Linked DNA regions of Caenorhabditis elegans. The protein of the gene in region 1 interacts with the protein of each later gene in a pairwise test. Each region holds a gene or a part of one and is shown on either strand. Other genes may lie near its edges. The genes, in order: tag-196 and pmk-1.

What was found.
Region 2: the proteins of tag-196 (region 1) and pmk-1 interact in a two-hybrid assay, tested with the Caenorhabditis elegans proteins (one large-scale study listed by BioGRID).

What each region holds. Positions count from the first base shown.
Region 1 is NC_003283.11:8,593,060-8,598,112, reverse strand, and holds tag-196 (Cathepsin F), read right to left. Parts: upstream 3,200-5,053; 5' UTR 3,195-3,199; coding exon 3,093-3,194; intron 3,006-3,092; coding exon 2,802-3,005; intron 2,371-2,801; coding exon 2,258-2,370; intron 2,078-2,257; coding exon 1,958-2,077; intron 1,912-1,957; coding exon 1,444-1,911; intron 1,240-1,443; coding exon 1,061-1,239; intron 1,011-1,060; coding exon 763-1,010; 3' UTR 644-762; downstream 1-643. Other genes in the region: F41E6.7 (uncharacterized protein), read left to right, coding at 1-95, 139-262.
Region 2 is NC_003282.8:8,147,280-8,152,081, forward strand, and holds pmk-1 (Mitogen-activated protein kinase pmk-1), read left to right. Parts: upstream 1-1,514; 5' UTR 1,515-1,526; coding exon 1,527-1,675; intron 1,676-1,719; coding exon 1,720-2,285; intron 2,286-2,652; coding exon 2,653-3,017; intron 3,018-3,408; coding exon 3,409-3,462; 3' UTR 3,463-3,987; downstream 3,988-4,802. Other genes in the region: Mitogen-activated protein kinase pmk-2, read left to right, coding at 1-17, 346-417, 467-563, 648-852, 903-1,052. UniProt on the Caenorhabditis elegans protein: Serine/threonine kinase which responds to activation by environmental stress and pro-inflammatory cytokines by phosphorylating downstream targets. As part of a MAP kinase signaling pathway, plays a role in modulation of lifespan and immunity.

The DNA.
Region 1 (5,053 bases):
TTAATGCAATGGGCGGCGGTGGAATTTCAGCAAGCTGCTGTGGATTTCCTCGTTAAACCTGCCCATGAACTATTTCCCGATGAGCTTCCAAATCAGTATGTGGAGTTTTTTCGTGCACTTAAATTTGTATCATTATAGATGCTTCCAATCATCTTTCTATCGTAGTCCGCTTCAATTAAAAAAGAGACCTGGAAAACGAGCAATTGTTCGAAGATCCGATGTATCCAGAATGCTTCAATCGTTAGATACAAAAATATTTTAATTTCAAAGTGTCAAAAATTTTCTGTATATTTCTTTTACATTTTTATCAAACTTCTTCAGTCACTTCTATTCACCCAATTCTCTCACGTCAGAGAACAAAATCATGACAGATTTGCTCAGAACACGTGCAAATATCCGAAAATTTACCCTCTTTATCATTACTATTTGTTCTCAAAACTATATCATCTCTCATTTTTTCGTGTTGATCTTACTCAAGTGTTTTCTGTTTTTACTCGAAATCCCCCGTGAATTACGACTTTTTGTATAATTTGGTGAAGTATTAAGAATTTTTTACTGGGACTTTTATCTACTGTATTGCTGCTTTCTAAATGAAATGTTTTACGTGGATTTTAATGATTGCTCAATTAAAGCTACTTTGAAACTAAGTACATACAAACTTTATTAAAGACAATTTGAAAACAAATCGGAAAATTAAACAATTAAGTACATGAAAAGAACACACGTTTGACAAACAAGACAATTTCGAATATGATTATTTAATCAGTTAACAAGTGCAGACGTGGCCATTTCCTGCACTCCACACACATTCTTTCCTCTGTACAATTTGAAGTATCCGGCTTCTCCCCAATTTGGTCCCCAAGAGTTCTTGACAATCCAATATGGCTTGCGACCATCTTTTCCGTATCCAACAATCAAAACACCATGGTTAAGCATAAATGGCTCGCAGAAGATTTTGAATGGATGGACAACACCGTGACGGTAGAATTGGAGAGTGTTTGCGTTGAGACCTGAAATCGAGCAATTTTGAATTTAATATCGAATTTGGCAATTGACTTACCGATAGAAATTGGTCCCTTGGTGACAAGCCACTTTTGCATTTCAACTTCATCGTGTGGCAGCTCAACTGATCCGTTGATATACACAGCAATGTCCTTTCTCACCAAATGACATGTTTCACCTCTTCCATCATATGGATATGCATCTTCTGGCTCCAAGCCACCCATACGGATGATCTCTCTGAAAACAAAAAAGCATTTTTCAGGAACAATCAGAATTAACTTTTTAAACTAGAAGTACTTTGTGGTTTTATGATAAAAAACTAAAAAACAGTAATTATCTGATACGACAAACTTTCCAATTCTGAAAATATGAGACACATGTCGCATTAATTATTTCAGTATTCAGTTTTTCCCAAAAGAAAACGGAGAAATTGAAACATACTTGTATGCATTACTTGGCAATCCTCCATTACATCCCTGATCCATACTATCACAATCCACAAGTTCTTGTTCTGAAAGTGATACAAGCTTGTTCTTGGCAATGAACCATGCTCCTTCCACATTTCCTGTCGTTGAGAATGCCCAACAACTTCCACAGTTTCCTTGATTCTTTACTTGAGTAACTGCTCCTTTTTCTCTCCAATCAAATGATTCTGGAAGATCTTCTTCATTAATTGTGACATCATGTTTCTCGAAATTGGCTTGTTCCATTGGATATACTGGTTGTTCCCATTGATATGGAAGCATTATTTTCTTGAATTCCATTGTTGTCATGTCAGAAAACTTTGTGAATCCATAGACAGCGGTTCCTTGCTCATTTTTCTGAAGTTCTCTGATAACTTTTGCGTTTTTCTTGAAAACTCGGAATCTTTTTAGAACTTCTCTTTTGTTAGTGTACTTCTTCTCGTGTCTGGAAATAATTAGGTAAATTGAGAAAATAACGAAACAAACAATACCTATCAACAAAATCAAGAAAAGAATTCCAAATGACATAGTCTCTTGGACGGATGATCTTTGCCTTTCGGAGTTCCTGAACAGTGATGGAGTCGTCGTGAGTCAGTTGGATTTTGCGGTGACTGAAAATATTAACAAATTTCTATGTTAAAACATAAGACATAACAAGTTTCACTTACTAGTTAATCTTGTCAGTAAAAATATAAAAATAAAAAATATCCCAAAGACCACAAGTATTATGAAACATTTTTTGTTATAGTGTGATTATTTTTATCGGAAAAATTTTTATCGTCTTTACTTACTCGAACTTATCAATGTTCCTTGTAAACTCTTCCTCACAATTTCTGATGTGCACGATGTCTTTCAGACCATAACCATGTCTTTTTACACGGCGACTGATTTCAACTTGACACTTCTGCAATTAAGACATAAATCATTAAAATCAATAAAATCATAAAAATAATATTTTGTCTTGTAAGACAATTATTTTACTTTAAACTGTTTCAATTCGTATTTCATTTAATTTTGAAACTTTTTAGATTTGTTAAAAACTATAAATCTGATTGTTCTGTTTTTTACACGGGATAATCGGAAACTATACAAGACTTTTAGAATAGGTCGTTGGGGTCCACTTAGCACAAAATGTGACTAGTTTCAGAAAAGATTTGTAAACTTTATAAACGCATAATACTTTTTTCAAGTAAACATTCCACCCGGGTTAGGTGTGATGGAGCCCCATCGAGTGTCCAGTCAAAAAAATCTTGAATGTATTCAAAGAATTCTAAAATTATATTTCCTCTTCCTATTCATTTTTTGATCAACTATTTTTGGTTTTTGTTTTCTCACCTTGAGTGTATCCGTCTTCCGACACTTCTTCCCCTCAACGTCCGTCTGACCCTTCTTACAATCGGTTTTGACCAATGTGACAAAAATTGAATAATGTATTCCACCGGACAGTTTTCTTTCAACCTCCCATGTTCTATCGAGTTCCCATTTGTAGGCATCATTCGATTGCTGATTGAATTTTTCAACACCATGTCGCGCGAATTTCTACAACAAAAATAATTTGACAAGGTGATGGATGGATAGGATGACAACTGGTTTGATAAGGAATATAAAATGATTGAAATAGATTACCTCGTACAGAAGTTGGTCTTCTTCATTTATCGGCAACACTTTTGAGACAACTGTGTGGAGAGATGCAAGTAACAAAATTAGGCAAACTATAGGTTTACCCATTTTGGCTGAAAATAAGATCATGTGATAAGACAGAGAAAATCAGAAAGAAGTTTAGTAGGAAGAAGTTGACAAGATACAGTGAGATTGATACAATAATAAAAAAAAATAGTAAATGCTTCAAACCAAGATTTTGAGCCACCTGAGCAATTTTAACACGAATTTTATGTTTTTTTGATAATTAAAAAATCAAGAAGATCCAAGAGCTGGTGTTCTAAGGTGTCATTTGATAAAAGATAGATGTGGTTGGGGGTTGATGATGGGAATGAGGCCAGTTGTGGGTCATATGGTACCACCGAACAGCTGCCCAGTTGTGGTGTCTCCCAAGGGGTTGCGAGTGACCGTATGACCCGGCATTAAGAATAAAAGAGATAAATAGAGACGCAGCAGCAGTTAACAGGCACAAGAAAAAACCGGCAAAAACATGATGAGTCAAAAGGGAAAAGAGACGCAGGCCATCGGGAGGGTAGGGTTACACCTTTTCTGAAGGAGTTTTTTGGAAGACGAGAAGGGCACAAGACGACGTGCAAAAGGGCGGCGACCGGGCGGCTCAATTGAATTTCTGAGTAGGGTGGGAGACACATCAATTTGTTGTTGGCTCTAGTTGTAGTGGTTTGAAATTTCGATTCGAGCGGGGAAGGAGAAGTACGCGGACACTCTAATTCTATTAGGAAAGTGCACTAAACCGAAGTATCGAGAAAGTCGGGAAGAAAGTGAGAATGAGAATGGAAGACAATTTTCTAACTACAATATTGTAGAGTGGAATATATAGTTTTGCCAACTTTGAATCTAGGAATTTGTGCATTTATATGAACCTCACCGGTGAGAGTTTAAAAAGCATTTTAGGCATTTGACCTACAGATGGAAATTCGTTCAAGAAACTACATTCCAGCGCTCCATTTCCTAGCCCACGTTCTCACATCCTTTTTATATAAGAATGTTTTATCTATTTCAAGATAATAGAGGACATTGATGGGTTTGCAGACGATTTTTATGGGGTTTAAATATTTGTTTCCAAAATTTAGAAACTCACTTTTATTCATACGATTATATTGATCAGAAATGGTTTCATAATGTGAAAATAAGAAAATTATTCTGTATCGTACTTTTGCAACAAAAATCGCTTGTCGTGAACGTTTTGATTTTGAATTCAATTTTAGTTTGCATCCTAGTTTCTCTAAAATATCTGAAGTCCATTCAAAATTTTACAAAATATGGAATAAAATTAAAATTTTATCAGAAAAAACAGAATGAAAAAACTCTGAATAGATCACAAAGAGTTGTAGTATTTTCTGACTAATGTGAATAATTGTTACGCTTATAATTGTGAATTTCAGAAGGTCGAGAAATTTCGATAACTTTTTATTGGAAAAAATTTAAAAAAATTAATTTCAGATGAATCATACGCCAACGATCAGAAAATATGTTGAAAATATCGACATAAAGAAAAACAAGAATATAAAGAAAACAAAAAATCAATGTTTTAAATTAAACACCACACAACAAATTCCTCATGATTTGTAGCTCCGAGGCGCTATGTGTTAACTACATTTTCCAGTTTTCGGACACCAAGTATTTCATATTCTCATGTGATATGATAGAAAATGAGATTGAGGGTGATTTGTCGTGAAAATGAAGGAGAAATGGAAAAACAACAAGAAAAAGAGAGGTGAATCGAACGTAAACACTCATTTTATTTCTTTATGCTCCCAACAACTTTCTTCCAGCAACCAAAAAATAAGGAAGAATTTCTCTGGCATTTGCTGGCTAGATGTATAGATAGATGTGTGAGAAGAATAGAAACTGAATTATTGAATTTGTATCGACTCAGGCGGAGAGCAACACACGAAAGACACAAAGAG
Region 2 (4,802 bases), on another chromosome or scaffold:
GCATTATACACAGACTGGTGAGTAAATAAAAGAAATTGGTTTCTATGCACTTAAATAGTCACCTAAAATCTTTGAACTAAATTGTTAAATATCATATGATTTGAGGTTAACTTCTGACATTTTGAAAGCATGTTTCACCTGTTTCTTGTAGTTATGCTAAAACGTGTGAAAATATGAAGAATAAACTTTGACTTGATATTGGTATTTCTGGTTTCTGCAATTCTCTCTCTATTCCAACTTCCTATTTTTTCAAATAAACGAAAAACTTGATATATTTATCACATGAAACAAAAACATCATTTTTTTTTACTTCTAAAAATGTTACCAAAATATTGAATTTTTCAGTTGATGTTTGGTCAGTTGGATGTATTCTTGCGGAACTGGTATCCGGGAGACCATTGTTTCCAGGCGATGATCGTGAGTTTTATTCTATTCCTCTAATACTTTAAATATTTAAAATTTGCAGATATTGATCAGCTAACAAAGATAATGTCAGTTGTGGGTACCCCAAAAGAAGAATTCTGGTCCAAAATTCAATCAGAAGAAGCTCGAAATTATATTAAGTTAGTGTTGCAAATACTTCTGAAATTCAATTACTAGACTAGAACTGAAAAAAAAAATAAATCGTTTACGCAAAAATCTTTCAGAAATCGTTCTCCAATTATCCGTCAGGACTTCGTTACATTGTTTCCAATGGCTTCTCCATATGCTCTCGAACTTCTCGAAATGATGCTAATTTTGGATCCGGACAGAAGAATTTCTGTATCAAGTGCTCTTCGTCATGACTATCTTCGTGAATACTCTGTGCCAAATGATGAACCAGTTGCAATGGATACGGTAATAAATAGCATAGTACGAAATTTAAGTTCGCTTCTCTAAAAGTACTCCAATTTTCTTGTTAGGTCACAATTGATCCAGCTGAAGAACGAGCAACAACGTTATCCGACTGGCGAGAGTTAATTTGGAATGAGATTCGATTATTCCAAAACTCGGCACGAAGACTAAGTTTTGTAAGCTGTACGGATACGGAAGAAGAGCCAATGAAAATATGAAGTCAAATGTGTTCAAGTGCTAAAATATCTCAAAACTGTGGAATTTTCTTTTTTCTATATTGTATCTCCCTAAACTATTTATTTCACTAAAAATCAAATTTGTGTCCCTAATTCCTTGATCTCTAATTATCCAACAATCGATCTCAGATGTTCTTTTCCACAAAATCTCAATTTTTTCCTTTGAAACCATAGACTTGTGATTTACCTTAACTTTCTCGTTAATCCTATAAGTTGCCATGACCTCAGAGCCTCTTTTAATTTATTATTCATTTAGATTCATTTATCAAATTGAAGTGTATAAAGAATTAATGTAAATATTCAATTTTCTAAATACTCTTAAACATTTAATCGGTTCAAATTGCCGCTTAATTTTTATATTTACATTTATATTGGTTTTACGTACACAAAAAAATCATATTTTTTTCAAAATAATTACTTCAAATCTTACAAACATGATTCCAGGTAACGGAGCCAATGTTTCCACAGACAACAATGGATCATATACTTCATCCGACTCCACGAGAAGGATACTATGTCGTTGAGCTTAATCGAAGTGTCTGGGTTGTTCCAAATTATTATATTAACTTGACTCCAATTGGTACCGGAGCATATGGAACTGTTTGGTATGTCATTTCAACTGATTTTTACTTTATTTTTCGATTTTTAGTGCTGCTGAATGTACTCGCTCGGGGACTCGCGTCGCAATCAAAAAATTCAATCGTCCATTTCAATCAATAATTCATGCCCGTCGTACATATCGTGAACTCCGACTTCTTCGTTGTATGTGTCATGAAAATATAATTGATCTACTTGATGTCTTCACTCCAAATGAGAATGTAAATGATATCGAGGATGTGTATTTTGTATCAATGTTGATGGGAGCTGATCTATCAAATATTCTCAAAATTCAGCGACTCAACGATGACCACATTCAATTCTTAGTCTATCAAATTCTTCGTGGACTCAAATACATTCATTCTGCAGATATTATTCATCGAGATCTTAAACCATCAAATATTGCTGTTAATGAGGATTGTGAATTGAAAATTCTTGATTTTGGATTGGCACGTCAAACTGATTCTGAAATGACTGGATACGTGGCAACAAGATGGTACAGAGCTCCAGAGATTATGCTCAATTGGATGCATTACACGCAGACTGTTGATGTATGGTCAGTTGGGTGTATTCTTGCAGAACTTATCACTGGAAAAACATTGTTCCCTGGATCTGATCGTAAGACTTTTTTTCTACAATATTCCAAATATCTTCAATTTCCAAGCAAAAAACCAGAGTAAATATTTATGGTTGTTAACTTTATTGTACACTGGCGTTTCATAACATAGAAAAAAAATCATTTTGCTAAGTTATTCGTACCGTAGCAGGCGGAAAAAATTTATAATTAATTATTACCTCTTATTGCAAATTTTGGTAGTTTATCTCCAGTTGATTTGAGGATTTAGGCGCATTTGTAGTCGCGGTGTTAACTACCAAAATATGGACTAAGATAATTCAATAAAAACAAACAAAACAACAAAAAACAAAACACAAACGTTATTTTCTTTTGAAAATGTAGACTTTTCATTTAAAACTACTGTTTCAGACATCGATCAATTGACTCGTATCATGTCAGTAACTGGAACACCAGATGAAGAATTCCTTAAAAAGATCTCATCAGAAGAAGCTCGTAATTACATTCGAAATCTTCCAAAAATGACTCGCCGTGATTTCAAACGTCTGTTTGCTCAAGCAACTCCTCAAGCAATCGATCTCCTTGAAAAGATGCTTCACCTTGATCCAGATCGTCGTCCAACTGCAAAAGAAGCTATGGAGCATGAATATCTGGCTGCTTATCACGATGAAACTGATGAGCCAATTGCAGAAGAAATGGATTTGAATGATGATGTAAGGGCAGATACAATTGATGAATGGAAGAAAATTATTTGGGAAGAGATCAGTGATTTCCAGGTAATATATATTTACACTTGTTTTTGAACCAACTAATTATGCATAAAATCAAACGAAGGACACCCCCAGTGGGTTCATTTTGTGATCAAAATTCATTTCCGACTGTCAAAAACGTATCAATTTAAGCGGTTATTATTTAATTCGAATACTTTTGAAATTCTATAAATAACCTATACTACTCTAACGTTGAGTTACACCTAACCCAAACCTTTACACTTTGTTATGAAATTGATATGAATGATAAGGATGATTCAGTGCGGGGGGTTAAGTAGAAACGAGACATGAGTCATATTCAATTTCTTGGAAGCCAAATTATCAATGAAAAAAAAGTTGACTCAGGAAACTCAGAAAAAACGGAAATTATTCACTGAAATAATGAGATCATTTTCAGAAAAACGTGGCATTTGCTGACGAAGAGGAAGATGAGGAGAAAATGGAATCGTAGCATTGCTTTCTTTTTTGTATATCAGTTTTTCAATTTAATTCTTCAAATTTTTCAAAAAAAAAAAAGCCAACTGAGACATCTTACAATCCCAAGGCAGTTTCTTGCTCTGAAAAGGTTAATCTCACTTTCACAATGTGCTATCCCCCCACAAAAATAAAATCTTCCAAAACAAAACAAGGTAGCTCTAACTGATTCGCTTATAATTTTATTCTGTTTTCAAATTTGTTTTAAAAAACCAATTAGTATTTTTGTTTCAATTAAAATTTCTTAAATCAAATTCTCCAGATGTTTTGATCTATTAGGTGCTCGTTTCACCCCGCCCCTTGTTTTTTATGAAGCCTGTATAAGTGACCTTGGAAATACACAACCATCAAGCTTTTTAACTTTCATTATGGATTTCGAGAAATTTCAAAATCTTGATAGTTGAGTTTTTAAATTTCTAAAGTCATATTTTCCCCCTTTTCATTGCACTCTATGTTTATTTCGTTTTGTTCTCCAATGAACTTGATAAAATCATAAAAATTATCTTTTAATCTTTATTTTTAAGAATTTCTTTGTCAGTATCATATTATTACAAGTGCCACTTTAAGTGTTGAAAGTCAGTTGATACTGCCAAAATATACTGTATCCAACAAATAGTGTAACAAAATAGAATACCTTAGTTAAATGAATTCGCTCATCAAGCTAAACTTCTCGCTATCCGAGAAGATCAAAGCGAAAAACTGAGGTTCTCTTCAAAAAGTGTTTTATAGGATATAGCATTATTGCTTTTTTGGGTCCTTTGATATTTTAAAGAAACCTACACACGTTCACGAGTTTTTTGACAGAAAGTTACAGTTCTAAAAAGAAAGCAGTAGATAACACGCACGATGGAATAATTTTGCGGTGATTTCTTAGAACAAACGATGAGTAGATCAGTGAGCTGAATAATTTTCATTTGTAAAAAGGTTTTCACATTTTGCACTGGCTTTTCTTATAAAAATCATACTTAATTGGGCAAAACATTCTACATTCTTTCCATTTTTATTTTTGTTTCGTCTTAACATTCACATACAGATAAAACAGTAAGAATAATAAAAGTGACATAATAATGTGACATAATAATGTTGAAATATTATTTATATGTTATTTATGCCTATTCTCGATCAGCTTAACTGATTTGATCATTAATGAATCACGAGATGTCGGTGCTCAATTGAAATGACGACAAGTTCATGTCTCCGTCTATTTTCTCTATTCTGCCAGAAATTGTGACTGATAAGAGCTTGTTTTATAAAACTATTGAGTGTGGGTCAATGTCCATTCCAATTTTTCATTCTTTTCTATTTGACAACTTTCAA